Pelodiscus sinensis: one gene and its partner. The main gene of each other region encodes a partner of the protein of the gene in region 2 in a complex. Links are inferred from orthologs where the notes say so. Each region holds a gene or a part of one and is shown on either strand. Other genes may lie near its edges.

Region 1 (8,452 bases), on a different chromosome or scaffold from region 2:
GGCTCCCAGCCTGCCTGGGTACTCGCAGGGCAGAGAGGAGGGCCCATGGGAGACAGGAGAGCTACAGACCAGCCCCCAGGACATGAGCGCCCCGGGCTGTGAGCCTGCCGAGGGGGGAGCCGGGGCCAAGAACTGCGCCGGCCGGCACAGGGGGCGGTAAATCATTCTGCCATCAAGGGCAGGGCAAGAAGCAATGGGCTTGAAAAATCGCCCTGCCAGGGCCGGTCTGGATACCACAGGGCTGGGGCCTTCCCGCCCGACACAACCCACCCCCCGGGGAACCAGCCCTCACCTTCCGGTGCCAGGGGGCACTTCTGGGCAGCGCTCTCAGGAACCGGGCCCTGCAGACACAGAAATCAGGGGCTCCCCGGTAAGCCACAGGCCTGCGCCCCAGCTCGAGACCCTCCCGCAGAGCAGAGCCGTGAGACGAGCTGCACTCCCGCCCTGTACCACGGACCCAGGGCTTTGGGAAGGGAGCATGGCAGCCCGGGGACCTCCCCCTGCCCAGCCCTGCTATGTGGGCATCCCCCAATTGCTGCTCAGCCCTGCTGCTGGGGGCAAACCGGCTTCCCCCCAGCCCTCTCCGGCCCTGCTGCTGTGGGCAAACCGGCCTCTCCCCCCGCCCCGGCCCTGCTGCTGCGGGCAAACCGGCCTCCCCCCAGCCCCCTCCGGCCCTGCTGCTGTGGGCAAACCAGCCTCTCCCCCCTGGCCCTGCTGCTGGGGGCAAACCGGCCTCCCCCCCTCCCGCTGCTGCAGGCAAACCGCCCCCCCCCCCCCCCCCCGCGGCCCTGCTGCTGCAGCACCTCCAAATGATTTGTTAAGGAGATTTTGGAAAGCCCCCCCCCCCCCCCCCCCCCCCCGGAAGCAGTGGCACTGGGACCCTCTGCACCATGCCCGAGCCTACCCTCCCCGCTCAGGGCAAGGAGCGCAGGATGCAGGGCAGCCGGTTCCCTTCCCCTGCCTGCTCCCAAGGGGAAGCCCCGCTCCTCCCACCAGCGGTTGCTGGGCCCAGCTGACTGGGAGAGCGACTTGCCCACACAGGGAGGCAGCCTTAGGAGAGGAAGGAATCCAGGGGCCCCGGCTCCCAGCCCTTGCTCTAAACTGCTCTTTCCCCAGTGCACTGTTAGCTCTTGGAGCCGGCTGGGACAGTAACTGCCCCCCGCATCGGGCTGGCAGGGCCCACTCAGCCAGGGAGCTCGCGGAGGGGAAGAGAAAGCCAAGCCGCACTTTTCCTTTTCCGAGGCAGAACTTGGCTCCATCCCAGGGCTGGCCAGGCTCTGGAGGAAGCTGCGGGCCTTACTTCCTCTCCAATTACGCTTCACAAACCGCACCCAGGAATCGCTTCGCATGCCTCCGACAGGCAGCCTAGCGCTCTGACGCACCTAGCGGCCACGTCCTGGCAGCATTGCCCCATCAGGTGAACCGCTGCCAGGGCGGGGCCCGGGAACCGGCCAGTCCTGGATCAGGCCAGGCCAGCTGCATCTCAGCACAGATGCGCTGGAGACCAGAGACCACCGCGGCTCTAGGCCCAGTCCTGTTAGCTCATCCCACCATGGCCATTTTCACACAGGCAGGACTTAGACCAGACTTGGCCGCTCAGCCACAATCTTGCTAACCCCCCTAGAGGTGGTCGCCTCGCTGGGACTCGGGCTGACTGCAGACTCCCGGACACCCCTAAGCAGAGGGCTCTGCCCCTTTAAGATGGGCATTGCTCCAGCCTGCCCAAAACAAACAGCTGGAGCTGCCCCTCCCAGCACCCAGCTTCAGCCACACACCTGGCCTCTGCTGCAGAGGAGCGTGGCCTTGGGGATGCCTGAAAGGGCCCAGCTTGGCCAGTCAGAAGATGCTCCCCCAGCACCTCTCAGGTCTGTGTCTGGAGCCAAGCAGCAGGGCTGGAATGAGCACTAAGGAACAGGGAGCAAGTCCCGCCCGGCGTGGTACTCTCCAACCTCCATTGGCTGCCCTGGGCTGCATGCTGGGAATTTAGCCCCCTGCCCGTGCCTGGCTAGGCCAGGAATGCTGCTTTCAGCCCAGGAGCCCAGAACCTGGCATGCATCAGCCTCTTGGCTGGGGCACGGGGGAAGCTGGGCTGAGGCACATGAGTCCACAGCGCCTGGCTCAGCCCAGCAAAATCCCAGGAGTGGGAGATGGGGGATCCAGGCGATACTTGAGTTGGGCCTTGAACACAGCGGAGGCTGGGCAGGGGCCTTTCCCGTGCACAGCGCCAGGGTGCCACTCGCTTCACTGGCACGGGACAGCCCAGAGCCCCTCCGCAGGGCTGCGCACACACGTCACAGCTGACCAGCGGGGACACAGGCGCCGGGGAGCGCACTGGGCTTTGGGCAGGAAAGTCCAGGCTCCCCGCCAGCTGGACGGGCCAGGGCGGCAGAGGGAGGAAGAGAAACACCCAGCTCCCGTCACCCAGTCGGAAAACTGCCCTGACCCCGGACTCTCAAGTTGGTGGCCGGCCAGGGAAACGCAGCAGCCCAAGGGCCACCTCGGGGGTCACTGCGCTGGCCCGGCCCAGGGCACCCTCACCCCAGCCCCAGCCCCAGCCCTGTTCGGTTCCTGGCGGCTTGGCCTTTGGGGGCCCGATCCGGGGGGGGGGGGAGGCGAACGCAGGAGGGGGCCCTATGGGGGGGAGGGAGCGAGGGCCCGATCCAGGGGGGTGTCGAAAGATGAGGGAGAGAAGGGGGGGCCGATCGGGGGATGGGGGGGCCCGATCGTGGAGGACGGAGGGCTCGATCCGGGCGGGCGAACGCAGGAGGGGGGCCCGATCCGGGGGGAGGCGGGGGACGCGGGAGGGAAGGGGGGAGGCGGCCCCGATCCGGGGGGAGGCGGGGCCCGATCCGGGGCTGGCGGAGGACGCGGGAGGGAAGGGGGGAGGCGGCCCCGATCCGGGGGGAGGCGGGGCCCGATCCGGGGGCTGGCGGAGGACGCGGGAGGCGGCCCCGATCCGGGGGGAGGCGGGGCCCGATCCGGGGCTGGCGGAGGACGCGGGAGGCGGCCCCGATCCGGGGGGAGGCGGGGCCCGATCCGGGGCTGGCGGAGGAAGGGACGCGGGTGCCCGATCCCGGGGGCGCCGGGCCCCCCCACCCCGGCCGGGTCGGGCTCTTACCGCCTCCATGGCCGCTCCAGCCGCGGCTCGTCTCGCTGCCGCCGAACGCCCGGGGGCAGCAACGGGACCGGGTCACTTCCGCCCGGATCTACTTCAGCCATTTCCGCCCGCAGAGGTCATGTGACCGGAAGTAGGCCGCGCGGGGGAGGAATTGACGCCTGAGGCCGGTGACCTTTGCCCCCCCTCCCCTTCCGGAGCCTGCACGACCTTCCGGTTCACGAGAGCCGGGGCGGCCCCGCGGAACCCCCCGGCCAGCAGGGGGCGGGGCGGGGCAGGAGCCTCGAAGTCTCCTTCGGCGCTGGGGAGGCCGCATCTGGAGCGTTGGGTCCCGTTCTGCCCCCCCCCCCCCCACAGACTGGACGTGGCGCTTTGCAGAGGGGCCAGCGGGGGGGGGGGGGGGCGACCCAAATGCTGAGGGGGCTGGAGCACGTGACCTACGAGGAGAGGCTGAGAGACTCGGGTCTGTTCAGTCTGCAGAAGAGAAGAGCGGGGGGGGGGGGGGGGATTTGAGAGCAGCCTGCAGCTCCCTGGAGGGGGGTCCAGAGAGGCTGGTCTCAGTAGTGACAGATGCAGAACAAGGAGCAATGGGCTCAAGCTGCAGTGGGGGGGGGTCCAGGTTGGATTTTAGGAAAAGCTGTTTCCCTAGGAGGGTGGGGAAGCACTGGGCTGGGTTCCCTAGGGAAGTAGTGGAGTCTCCATCCCTAGAGGTGTTTAAGTCTCGGCTTGACAAAGCCCTGGCTGGGTTGATTTAGTTGGGGTTGGTCCTGCCTAGAGCAGGGGGCTGGACTTGATGACCTCCTGAGGTCTCTTCCAGTTCTATGATTCTATGATAAGGGGATGGTTTGAGAACATAACAGGATCTTGGTAACTAATTGACCATTCATTATCAGTGGGAAATAGGTCAATGGAGGGATGATAGAGAACTTTCTGGGTGTCTGGCTGGTGAGTCTTGCCCACATGCTCAGGGTTTAGCTGATCGCCATATTTGGGGTCGGGAAGGAATTTTCCTCCGGGGTAGATTGGCAGAGACCCTGGAGGTTTTTCGCCTTCCTCTGTAGCATGGGGCACAGATCACAGCTGGAGGATTCTCTGCATCTTGGGACCTTCAAAGTATTTGAAGGCTTCAATATCGGAGATATAGGTGAGAGGATTATTCTAAGAGGGGTGGGTGAGATTCTGTGGCCTGCACTGTGCAGGGCGTCAGACTAGATGATCATAATGGTCCCTTCTGACCTTAAGGTCTATGAACCCCAGGACCCAGGCGCCATCGAGTCCAGGCCTCTGCCCAAGGCGGGACCAGCCCCACTCGGTCACCCCCGCCAGGGCTGCATCCAGCCGGGACCTCGGCCCCGCTGGGGCTGGAGAGTCCCTCCCCCCCTCCCTAGGGAACCCGCCCAGCACCGCCCTGCCCGCCTGGGGAATCATTTTTCCTCCTCTCCCACCTGCCCCCTCCCCCACTGCACCTTGAGCCCATTGCTCCTTCTTCTGCCACTCTCCATCCCCTGTGGAACCTCCCTTCAGGACCGCTCTGCTGTCAAACCCCCCCTCCCTCTTCTCTTCTGCAAACCCAGCGCACCCCCCTCCCCCCACACCCAACAAATGGTCTGGTAGCACTTTATAGACTAACAAAACATATAGATGGTATCATGAGCTTTCGTGGGCACAGCCCGCTTCTGCAGATGACCGAAGAAGCGGGCTGTGCCCACGAAAGCTCATGATATCACCTACATGTTTTGTTAGTCTATAAAGTGCTACCAGACCATTTGTTGGTTTTTTTCTGTACAGACTAACTCAGCTACCAGATCTCTCAGTCTCTCCTCTTAGGTCATGCACACCAGCCCCCTTATCATTTTGGTCGCCCTCCGCTGGACCCTCTCCAATGCATCCACATCCTTTCTGTAGTATGGGGCCCCCAGGTAGGGGCCAGTTCCTGGGTTATGTGTTGCACCAACTCCAGGCATTCCTGCAGAGTGCAGCCTTGGGCACAGGCTGGGACGGGTGCACCTGCCCCTTGTTATAGCAGCAGGGAAGGAGCAACCGGTCCTGAACATTGGAGGGAGGGAGGGGAAGAGTTATGATCCTTTGGGCACCTCCAGCGCCTATGCAGCACTGGGCCAGAGTGACGGTCTCCAAAATCTCTTCCCAGAAGACCGTATGGGAAGCAGGAGCCAGGAACTTGAGCCACATTTCAACTGAGGAAGTGGGGGAGAGAACACACACAAGCAGAAGTCCAAGATCACCCAGTATTTAAAATGCACCTTTATTTTTTTATTTAAAAACAAACTCAGAAGCAAAATTTGAAACGCACTCTTTGCCTCTTTAAACATAAATTATATACATTTCAAAATTATATCCAATACAAAACATGCCACATACAAGTTCATTTTTTTGTTGTTTTTCTTTAAAAAAAAAGGAATAATTTTATTTCCCCTCCATTCTTTTCTTGGTTACGAAGGACAACCTCGCTGTACAGGATACACACACACACACAAAATAAAACCTCAAACACAAAGGAAGATTCCTCACAGAGTCCACACTTGCCATAGTTTTATTTTAAACTTTATTTTTTTTAAAAAACCAACAAAATAATAAATGGTTATTTCAGGATCATAAAAGGTAAAACTTAAAATATAATATCTGCAACTGTAAACAAACAGAAGTATTGGACAAGGCTTTGAATGCAATTTTACAAGCAGAGAACTTTAAAAAAAATCAAATGTCAGCTCTGGGACTGGATTATAGTTTATATAAAAATTAAAAACTGTATAGGTTTTCCTCCCTCCCCAGCTAAAATCTACAGAACTATTTTATACTCTAACCATAGTCTAAAAAGTCAGACAACCTGCTATATTCTGTTCTTTACTCTCTCCCAGCTTTAATCCTTTTTTGTAGTACTTTTTAAAATTTTTTATTTTATACACTTTACAGCCTTCCAAGTTAATGGAAAAAAAACAAAAAGTTATACTGGCTTTTTCTCTCTCACGCATATTTTATTTTAAAATAACATCCAGTGGTTTTATTATTGGTAAAAACGTTTTTTTTTCTCTACACAGCTCCCATTTTATTTACAGTTTTAAATTTAAATTTTTTGTATATTTTTTATTTTATTATTCCCTGCCCTCACCCCAAGTTTTAACATTTCATTTTAAACCTTTTGCAGCTTTGAATAGTTGCGGAAGCAGCTTTTTAAAAATGTGACAGCTCTTCTCTCTCACTCAAAATCTTTTGATTTAAAAACATAAAATGCCCTGGGCTCCCTGCCCCCAGATTTCATTCCCCCCCCCAAAATAATCTCACTTCATTTCATTCCCCCTCACACTCCAAGAGAGCAAGGAAGTTTAATACAAAACAGAACCCTCCTCAGCTGAGTCAAGCAGCCGTGGCATGGGAGAGCAGAGAAGAGCAAGCTCAGAAGTTTGTTTCTGATTCTTTCCTGGGGGACTAGGGGTGTCATGCCTTTGTGCGTTAAGAGATGTCAAACCCTACAGTTTAATGGAAAAGGGCAGTGAGAGCAGGACCTCCTGCCCCATCTGGTTTACAGCAGTCTTTGAGGGGCCCTCCTGGACGAGCAATAGGATGCTGTGGTGGGGAAGGCCAGAGCAGGAGAAGCGCTGCCCAGTTTGTAATGCCCACCAATCCTCTCTTCTCCCCAGCGAGTCCGCCCCTGGCAGGAGGCCCCTGGACCTGTCACATACGGGTTTTCTAGCTAACAAGACAAGAACAGCGAGCAGGGAAGAGATTTGCTTCCCCCAGTTTAGTTATGGGACATGCTCCCCTCCCCCACAGTCCAAGATCTCAGCCAAGCAGAGCACAGAAGAGAGCCCCCATAGATTCTAATATATACAAGCTAAGGTATAAATAGATAAATACCCCCCATACCATGCCGACATGACAGACACAGGCAGCCTCCAGAGGCCAGCCTAGAGCAGCAGTTCTGGTAGCAAAAGGGGGCCTGGTGGGTGGGGGAGCGGAGTGGCTGGGGCAGGACCCAGAACAGCCCCCCTACCCCACAGCCAAACTCAGGAGTGCGGCGGTGGCAGCCAGCTCTCTGCCTCAACTGAGGATTCCTGGAGCTCGGCCCCCAAACCCAGAGGCTTGACAGGGTGCTCAGTGCTGGGGGGGCTCTCGGCGGCTGCTTGTGCCATGCTGGGGAGGTGGGTGGAAGCAAGGGGAGGGTCTTGGCACATTCTAAGTAAAGCCTCAAACCGCCACCTCTCCGGAGTGCCCAGCTTTGTGCATGGTGGGAGAGCAGCCAGGAACACCCGAGCATCCAACTGGGGGGGCTCTTGGGGGGTGGGGGGGAGGGATCCTGAAACACTCAACTTCCCAGCTGGAGGGGGATGGAGATACTTTAGGGTCTCTCTCCTTCCAGGTCTGCGTGCAAGGCTACAATCTCCCTCAGGCTGCCCTAGGCTCCACCCACTGCCACACCTTGGATTCCCCAGGCTCCGCCCACTGCCACTAGTTCTCATTCAGAACTAGGAAGGTTGCATGTGGTCAGTCTCGGAGGGAGGGTCACATTGAAAACAGCAGAATCTAACACTTAAAATGAGGTAGGTTTGGGTGCAGATGCTCCTTGCGTCCATGGGGGAGGGGGGACTTTTCTGCACACGGCTCTCCCCAGCTCTGCTCTGGCAGCTGGCGCCTCCTTCACATGCTCACGGTGCTTCCATTGACAGAACAAGAAATAAACCGAAACCCAAGCGAGCTCTGTCTGTCTCCAGAGAGCCCAGCAGAGCGGGGCTGGGAGTTTTGGGATTGTCAAGCTCAAGGAGTCTCTTTGTTACCTTGGTAAGTTAGCGAGCAAATATTATTAGTTTTGTTTTTTTTTTAAAAAAAAAAACAGACTGGATCTGACCTCCCCGTGGGTCCGAGAATGCGGCCGCCCCACCCCAGATCCGAGGGGGAGCACCCCACTCGCCCCGCATCCATCCAGTTATTTACAGGTGCTTCAGTGAGCAAGGCGGACAGAGCTGGTTTTGTTGATGCCACAGGCCCCGTCCTCCTCGCAAAACAAAACAAAGAAAACCCTGAGTTGCCAGTTCATCAGTTCCACTTGTGGCGCTGCAGCCGCCCACCTGGGGAGAGCAGCACGCTGCCAGCAGAGAGCCAGGGCCACGGCGCGCCAGGCTGGAGTGGCTAGGGAGAGAACCAAGGTCCCTGTGCTTTCGATATGCCCTCCCTGTGGAAGTTAGGAGGGCGGCATCTGCTGGGGGTGGGCAAGGACTGGTGCCCCCTGGCCGTTGGAACCGAAAGCGGCCCCGGCTGACCCACCTGCACCAACCTCGCCTCCTGGGTTCCAGATGTGGGCGTTCCCCCTGGGCCAGCTCTGAT
Region 2 (8,610 bases):
AACCTCAAAGCCATAACATTGTTCAGTCACGTTATTCCCCCTTGTTGTTACCAATATTTCATCTACTTACGGGCTGATCCCTCATAGTAAAAAGGATTGCCTAGTCTGGCATTGCCACCTGTACTTCTGTGCTGCTGCTGGCAGGGCACTGCCTTCAGAGCTGGGCACCCAGCCATGAGCTGCCACTTGGCAGCAGGGGTGTAGCCATGGGTGGTCCAGGGCCCATTCACTTATCATCCAGCCCCACCCTCTGGTCCAAGCTTTTCTCCTGCCTCAGGTCCTGGCCACTCAGCCTGTCCAGAGATGTTGCTGAGGAGCAGTCTTGGGTTGAAGGGCCTTGCCCAGCTGGAGAGAGAGGGCTGCAGAGCGGAACTTGTCCTGCTCTGCCCATCCGCCAGTACAGACACAGAGCCAGGTCAGGGACTTGCCCTGCTCCACCTGCCCAGCACTCTTGCCAAGGAGCAGGACTTAGGCACTCCCTAGCTGGAGTGCCAGAGCGGAGCAAGCCATCAACCCCACTCACTGGCAGCAATGCCAGGTAGGGGGCGCAGGACAAACCCCGCAGCCCGACCTTCTCCCCTAGCTGGAGTGCTGAAGCTCAGTGGCCAGAGTGGGGGCAAGCCTCGAACCCCACTGCCCAGCAGGACTGGTGGGCTGGAGGGCAGCGCAGGTGAGGGTGCATACTTCTTCAGTCTCCCCCCCATTTTCTCAAGCCCCCTGGCAAGACTGTCTATGGCCCCCAGAGGGCTGGAGGAGGGGAAGTGGGGCCCCCACTGGCTTCTATCCTAGCCCCCTCTCATTTCCAGCTCACCCCAGTGTCCCAGTTTGCCTATACCACTGCTTTATGCTAGGAAAGTTAAGGATTAGTTGACTACTTGACTATCCGATAAGCAAATGCTTATCGACAGGACAGTCAACAAGTCACTTCCCCCCGGCTGCCTGTATCAGACAGAGAAAGAAAGGGTAGGGGAGAAAAGAGGTGTACTTCAAAGTGGCAGCACCACACAGAACCCAGGGTCAACTGCTTCGTGCAGCACTGCTGCTTTGAAATGTCGCTGCTGTGGTGTTTCAAAGGGGCAGCGCTGCGTGGAGCCTGGGATCAGCTGGGGACTCCCCAGTTGACGCAGGCTCCGTGCGGTTCTATCATTTTGAATGCCGCAGGGAGCCCGGATCTGGCTCCTCGTGGCATTTCAAAGAGGCAGTGCCACTTGGAGCCCAGGGTGAAATGCCACAGCGGCATTTCAAAGGGGCAGTGCTGCCCTATCAACTAAATGAATAGTCAATGCAAAAATTCATAGACTATTCGATTAGTCAATTACATGATACTTAACATCCTTACTCTATAACTGGCCAGATCTGCAGACTAGGGATATAAAATTCCAATTAATCAGTTAACCATTTAAATGTTAGGTTAACCTAACGTTTATCCAGTTAACCAACTAAGCAGGATCCCGGGGTGGGGAGGAGGAACCACTTCAGCCGGGCTGGGTCAGCGCCCAGCCTGTAGGGCTCCCTCTTCCAGCCCCAGTCACGTGGGGCGAACTGCCAGCTCCCAGCCCCACACAGGGACCCAGTGGGGTTGGAGCAGCCCTCTGCCTGCTGCTCCTGGGTAACTAGTTACACGTCCACATTCCTACTGAAGGCAGTGCAGAAGTAAGGGTGGCAGCACCATGACTGACCCCAATAGTTTTGTGATTCCCCCCACAACTCCCTTTTGATGCAGGGCTCCCACTTTGACAAATGCTGGTCTCCTCCATGAAATCCGTATAGTATAAGGTGAAAGCACCCAAAAGACCAGGTTTCACTGAGGGAGACCCTATTTCACAGTCCATGATGTGTTTTTTATGGCTGTGAATTTGGCAGGGGACAAAATTTAATGCAGCTTTTTTCCCCCCTCTAGAGGCAACACCACATACTAGTCTTATTATACTTATGCTCCAGTAATTCGATCTTCCAGGGTACGATTTAGCAGGTCTAGTAAGGACCCACAAAATAAAATGTTGAGGATGTCCCCATCAGCCCCAATACTCCATGGGGTCATAAGGAATAAGAAAAATAGATTGGAAAGTTTCTCCCATTGACCTCCCAGAGTGGTGTCTCCAGAAAAATTCAATTTAAGGAATGTCCACTCCAGCTAGCCAAGTCTAATAGCTGCAGTTGCGTATCTTAAAATGAATTTCCCTCCCAGGCTATGTCTAAACAGCTTCCCTCTTCCACAAAAGCCTATGCAAATGAAGCACGAATTAGTATATTGCCACGCTTCATTTGCATAATTAATTAGGAGCCATTTTTGTGCAAGAGGTTTTTGTGCAAAAAAGCACTGTCTACACAGTGCCTTTTTGCGCAAAACCCCCCACTTGTGCAAGAGCCGTTCTTCCTGAAAAAATGAGGAAGAACGGCTCTTGGGCAAGAGGGTTTTTTTGTGCAAAAAGGCATTGTGTAGATGGCGCCTTTTTGCGCAAAACACTCTTGTGCAAAAATGGCTCCTAATTAATTATGCAAATGAAGAGCGGAAATTTGCTAACCCGCGCTTCCTTTGCATAGGCTTTTGCGGAAGAAGTCAACTGTGTAGATGTAGCCTCCATGCAGACTGGCCTAGACATTGGAGAGTCTGTTACCATCTCAGGGATTAAAAACCTATTTCTTTTATTTGGACAGTAAAGGGTGTTTTTGCTTTTAGTTCCAGAGGTCACAGCTTCAAAGCCCACAGGTGGCTTGTACGGCTGTGTTGTTACACAAGCATAGCTGTGTTGTTACACAAGCACCTTTTATCCAGGTTCTGCACCAGTCTGAGAGTGATGCTGCTACCGGGGTGCCAAGGGAGTGAGCTGCAAAGAAAGACATTAGTCTTGTTAATCTAAAGCTCCTACACAGCCTCCTTGCCAATTCTTTTACTGTGTAACATGAGGTTCTGTTTTGTTTTAACTAGCAAGAAGGGGAAAATCTTCATTAGAGACAAGGCCTAATTATCAATTAATAAGCATAGCCTTCAGGTGGTTAGTCTGGGTTATAAATAGCAAGTTTAAAATTATCTGTCTAGTTTCTGAGAGCAATTCTAACAAGAATGAGTAAAAATAGCCTGCTTGGAACAGCTGTGTTATCTGTTATTACATGACATGCTCATGTGTGATTGCTTCAGTGCTGAAATGGAAAAGCGTCACTAATGTTTATGATTACTGGTTTGTTTATAACCGCACTCTCTCAATGCTAGGCTTTCCAGCTAGTCAAGATGGGTCAATCTCTGCCCCAAGGAGTCTACAGCTTTGGGATTTTGAAATAACTTCATCCATGTCTATACAGCAGGCAGTTATTTCAAAATTATGTTGAAATACTGTCAAGCTGGAGGACTTCTTACTCCGACTCCTGTAACCCACATTGTACGAGGAGTAAGGGAAGTTGGAGGAAGAGTGCTCTATTTTGAAATCAGTGCTGTATAGACGCGCCCAATTTCGAAATAAGCTATTTCAAAATAAGCTACGCAATTGACGTAGTGCAATTTGCAAAGCTTATTTCGAGTTAAGCCCTGCTGTGTAGATGCAGATCAGGGGACAGGGACAGAACAAATATGGATTTTGTATGTAGGGCAAGGAGAAGAGGGTTTTCACGAACGCCTTAGTTTCTTATGCAATCACATCCATGCTTTCTTCCACATGGCCTGAAATATGCCCTTGCCACTCAACTGAGAAGCATGTTTGGGAATAGGATCAATGGGCAAGGAAGGTGGCTTTAACTGCTGCACAGATTTCTGATTATTAATATATCTATTCCTGTGTTATTGTTATTCTGTTGTCCTACTTAAATACCACAGAAATGCTCCTGCATCCAGGCCATTAAAATATAGCTCAGTACTACTGTTCATCAAACACTGGCACCTAAATACTAGTTTAAGGCTAGGCAATTGGTTACAGAGCAAGTGGTTCATGCAAAATAGAGTACTGCTCCCTCCCCTCCCACTCCCCTCCCACTCCCCTCCCCCCCGACAGTCTTGTCTCCTCTTCCCTCTATGGTATGGCATCAAACCTGTGTGATCTGGTACCCCTACCCCAAGCTCAGTGCCTTATCTTTGGGCTGGCAGTCGCAGCACTGTATCCCATCTTCATAATTTAGCACCACTCTCCCCACCCCCTGACCCTAGCCTAGTATCATGCAGTCTTCCTCCTCCAAGCTGCATCAATTTTTCCCTCAGTCTGGCACCCATGTTTCTCCCACCAGACACTGACCTAGCCCCATGCCCTCCTTCTGGCCTGACAATAACCCCTGCATCCACCTCCCCAGCCTCTCCTGCCTTCTGTCCAGCTTAGCACTGCCAAATCTCTTCCCCATCATCTTGGCACAATGTTCCCAACCTCCATCTCACTTTGCTACCCCTTCCTCCCCAGTTGGAATCCCTCCTCCAGCTTGATCTTACAATGTCCCCATTCCACATCTTCCACTGTTCCTTGGTCCCCATCCTCTCCCCCAGGCTGTCATGGACTGTGCTACCCACTTTCCCAGACTAGCATGTACCTCTCCCACCCTCCTTTTACATTGCCAGACCTGACACATAAGAACATCCAGACTGGGTCAGCCCAAAGGCCCATCTAGCCCTGTATCCTGTCTTCTGACAGTGGCCAGTTCCGGGTGCCCCAGAGGGAATGAACAGAACAGGCAACTAACAAGTGATTCATCCCTATCACCCTTTCCCAGCTTCTGGCAAACAGATACTAGGGACACCATGCTCCCCAAACATCCCCAATACCAACATGTGAACCATGCCTATCTCCTACTCCAACTCTGCGATTCTTCCTCCCCACCAGAGCGTGATATGCACCCCACCTCCCCCTGTGCATGTACCATGCATGCTGCCTCCCGCCCGGCCTCACCCAGTGCCATTCCTACCTGCCCCGGAGTCTGGCACCCACACCTCAGCATGGCACCTGCCCCACATGCACCATGCTTCCCTCCCAGCCCGACACCGCATCATTCCTATACCCACCTCAAATCTGGCACCCACCCCCTAAGCCTGGCAACCTCCCATGCAGGCACCATGCCCCCTGCCTGACACTGCCATTCCTACCTCCCCCAGGATGGCTCCCAACCCTCAGCCTGGCACCTGCACCTCAGCCTGGCACCCTAAACTCCATCCCCTATGCAGCCCCCTTGCCCCTCCCGGCCCGGCGCCGTGCCACTCCGACAGCCCCAAGCCTGGCACGATGCCATCCCCTCTCCCCACCCTCCCGTGCGTGCACCGTGCCAGCCCCCCGCCCGGCGGGCATCGCCCTGCCCGGGCCGCCCCTGTGCCCGCGCCCCCCCCCCCCCCCCGGCCCTGCTGCATTGTGGTCCGCGCGCGGCGAAGATGGCTGAGAAGCAGAAGCACGACGGGCGGGTGAAGATCGGGCACTACGTGCTGGGGGACACCCTCGGGGTCGGCACCTTCGGCAAAGTCAAGAGCTGAGTAGCGGGCGGGGCGCGGCGGGGAATCGGCATCGCCCGGCGCGGGAGAAGCGGCGCCGAGCTGGGAGCAGCCCTCGCCTCTGCTGCGCGCACTGCCCCTCGCCCCGCTGCCGGGCACCCCCTCCGGCCGGGCACCCCCTCGCTCCCGCCCCCCTCCGGCCGGGCACCCCCTCGCTCCCGGCCCCCCCCTCCGGCCGGGCACCCCCTCGCTCCCCCCCCCTCCGGCCGGGCACCCCCTCGCTCCCGGCCCCCCCCTCCGGCCGGGCACCCCCTCGCTCCCGGCCCCCCCCCTCCGGCCGGGCACCCCCTCGCTCCCGGCCCCCCCCAGGCCGGGCACCCCCCCGCTCCCGGCCCCCCTCCGGCCGGGCACCCCCTCGCTCCCGGCCCCCCCCCTCCGGCCGGGCACCCCCTCGCTCCCGGCCCCCCCCTCCGGCCGGGCACCCCCTCGCTCCCGGCCCCCCCCCTCCGGCCGGGCACCCCCTCGCTCTCGGCCCCCCCCCTCCGGCCGGGCACCCCCTCGCTCCCGGCCCCCCCCCTCCGGCCGGGCACCCCCTCGCTCCCGCCCCCGTCCCCCCCTCCGGCCGGGCACCCCCTCGCTCCCGGCCCCCCCTCCGGCCGGGCAGCCCCCTCGCTCCCGTCCCCCCCCCTCCGGCCGGGCACCCCCTCGCTCCCGTCCCCCCCCCCTCCGGCCGGGCAGCCCCCTCGCTCCCGTCCCCCCCCCTCCGGCCGGGCACCCCCTCGCTCCCGGCCCCCCCCTCCGGCCGGGCACCCCCTCGCTCCCGTCCCCCCCTCCGGCCGGGCAGCCCCCTCGCTCCCGTCCCCCCCCCTCCTGCTGGGCAGCCCTCTCGCTCCCGTCCTCAGTCCCCCTTCCACCACCTCCCGGCCAGGGAGCCCCCTCGCTCCCATCCCCATTCCCCCACCCCAGGCCAGGCAGCCCCCTCGCTCCCAGCCCCAGTCCCCCCCCCCCCAGCCAGGCAGCCCCCTCGCTCCCGTCCCTGAGGCACCCTCCGGGCCCCCTCCTCCCGTGCATGCACCATGCAACCCAGTCGCTCTTTTCCCCAGTCCCACCCCCGTCCCGGGTCGCCACCTCGCTCCCTTCCCTCAAGCACCCCCCCCGTGCACCCCTCCCGTGCATGCAGTCCCATACGCAAGGCATCCATGGGGCAGCTGCCCCCTCCCTTGTGCATATGCCCCTAGGGCCAGGGCAGCCACAGAGAAGTCCCCTCACTCCCTTCCCCCAAGACACCCCCTGGGGATGCGTTCCCCCACCCTACATGCACCATGCAGCCTCCTCATTCCCCTCCCCAGCCCCATCCCTAGGGCAGGTCAGCCCCTTTGCACCCCTAGTGCCCACACCGGGCAGCTCCCCTCCCCTGCATGCACCGTGCAACCTCCTCACTTCCTTCCCCTAGGCCAGGGCAGCCACTGGGCAGCCCCCTTGCTCCCATCCCCCAAAGCACCCACTGGGCAGCCCTGCCCTCTCCATATATGCAGCATGCAGCTCCCTTAGCTCAAACCCCCAGGTCATGTACGGAGCAGCCCACCTTCCCATCAGTGCAGGCATTGTGCAGCCTCCTTGCTGTCATCCCTCAGGGTACCCACTGGCAGCCTCTTGTGCAGGCCCTATGCAGCCCCCATGCTTCCTTTCCCAGGGCACAAGCCATGCAGTCCCACCCCCTTGCCCCAGTACATGCAACCTCCCATTCCCTGACCCAGCACGAGCATAGTGCAATTCCCTTCTTGCCACCTGGTTTCCTCCACAGGCCCGCACTGCTCCCTCCCTCTCATGGATACACTGCATGAAGCCCTGTGCACTCCCTCTCCCATGTACACTCTTGCCTGTGCCCAGTGCAACAGGTGAGGCCTGTACAACCTGTAGTTACTATGTAACTACTCTGTGTCTCCCTCACCACTCCAGTGCCTGTATTCCACAGTGGAGCCTTTCCCTGTCCTTCATAAATCAGGCCAGTCAGGCAGCATCAGGAATCCAGTTCCCCTGTGCATGCTCGGTGGTAGCTGTGCCTTAGCCACAGCAGGGGTCAGGCCTTCTTACTGTTGGTTACTATTGCCAGAAAACACAGTGCCTGGGATTGCTATGCAGGGAACCAGACCTGGCAACCAAGGCTGGAAATATTTGCCTGGGGAGTGTTGAGGCAGCAGCACAACATAATCCACATAGATGCCAGGCTGCAGGAGCCAGGCAGGCTAGCAACTTGGTTAAAGGAAGACTGTGGTGTTTAAAACGGAATGGTAGCCTCCCTATTGTTCACCTCAGAAGAGTAGGGTGTTCAGCTGACCAGATGCACTGATTTTCATAGGACAGTTGCAGTGTTGGGGATTATTTCTTTTAGAGGCACCTATAATCTCCTGACCACCATCCCAGATTTTTTCATTTGCTACCTGTCATCATAGGGTATTCACTTTAATGCTTCCCTCTGTACTTAGTGTGTGGCCTTCCTAAAGCTGATATGTCTCTGCTGCCCAGGAGGCACTCTAGAGCAAATGTGGGTAAAATATGGGCTGGATCTGGCCTACCATGATGCTCTGGGCCGCCAGCATCCCGTGTCTCTATGGGACTCCCTCATGCCACTCAAAATGGCCAGCTGCTGGGGCCACCATGGGATCTCCATGCCCTGCCCCTGCCCCCAGCACCATCCTCGCAGCTCCCATTGGCCAGAAACCAGCCAATGGGAGCTGTCTGGGTCATGCGTGCAGTATAGGCTGTGCCCAGAGGCCCTCCCAAGGAGTGTGTGGTGTGCAGAGATGCACACTCTGGCCCCAGTAGCTGGTTGCTTTGAGCAACATGTGGGTCCACAGCAGGCAGAGAGTTTGCCTGAGGGTTCTACTGGGCTGCTGGCCAGGAGCCACCTACTATGATACATGTCTCCCAGCCAGAGCTTGCACCTGGCACCCCACTCCATCCCTGCCAGCTCCCTGCCCTAGGTCACAACCCAAACCTTCTACACCCTCCTCCAGGTCACAGCCCCTTCCCAGAACCTGCACCCTTCGTAGATTGCTCTTCCAGGTGAAAAATCCTCTTCTGTACCTATACCCTGTCCTGGACCCTGCAACTCAATCCCCCAAGCTGAGGTGACAGCCTTCTCCAGCCCCAGATCACAACCCACTCTTTACTAACCATACTCAGCCATTTCTAACCCTGACTTCTACATTCCTCCT

What was found.
Region 1: the proteins of PRKAA2 (region 2) and PRKAG1 are in contact, whole or in part, in a crystal structure (PDB 6B1U), measured with the Homo sapiens proteins. The link is inferred for Pelodiscus sinensis from reciprocal best matches to the Homo sapiens genes PRKAA2 and PRKAG1. Residues at the interface, in NP_006243.2 of Homo sapiens: Asp329, Asn330, Ile333, Met334, Ala337, Phe340, Tyr341, Leu342, His366, Pro367, Glu368, Arg369, Met370, Pro371, Pro372, Leu373, Ile374, Asn444, Val446, Thr447, Pro530, Arg531, Leu532, Gly533, Ser534, His535, Thr536, Met537, Asp538, Glu541; in NP_002724.1 of Homo sapiens: His36, Asp40, Leu41, Ile42, Pro43, Thr44, Ser45, Val50, Phe62, Leu64, Val65, Thr66, Gly68, Val69, Arg70, Trp75, Ser77, Lys78, Lys79, Gln80, Phe82, Pro158, Glu159, Ser160, Gly161, Asn162, Lys170, Arg171, Lys174, Phe175.

Annotation. Positions count from the first base shown.
Region 1 is NC_134729.1:4,977,573-4,986,024, reverse strand, and holds the start of PRKAG1 (5'-AMP-activated protein kinase subunit gamma-1), read right to left. Parts: upstream 3,263-8,452; 5' UTR 3,128-3,262; coding exon 3,119-3,127; intron 342-3,118; coding exon 293-341; intron 1-292. UniProt on the Homo sapiens protein: AMP/ATP-binding subunit of AMP-activated protein kinase (AMPK), an energy sensor protein kinase that plays a key role in regulating cellular energy metabolism.
Region 2 is NC_134719.1:12,982,298-12,990,907, forward strand, and holds the start of PRKAA2 (5'-AMP-activated protein kinase catalytic subunit alpha-2), read left to right. Parts: upstream 1-5,271; 5' UTR 5,272-5,335; coding exon 5,336-5,429; intron 5,430-8,610. UniProt on the Homo sapiens protein: Catalytic subunit of AMP-activated protein kinase (AMPK), an energy sensor protein kinase that plays a key role in regulating cellular energy metabolism.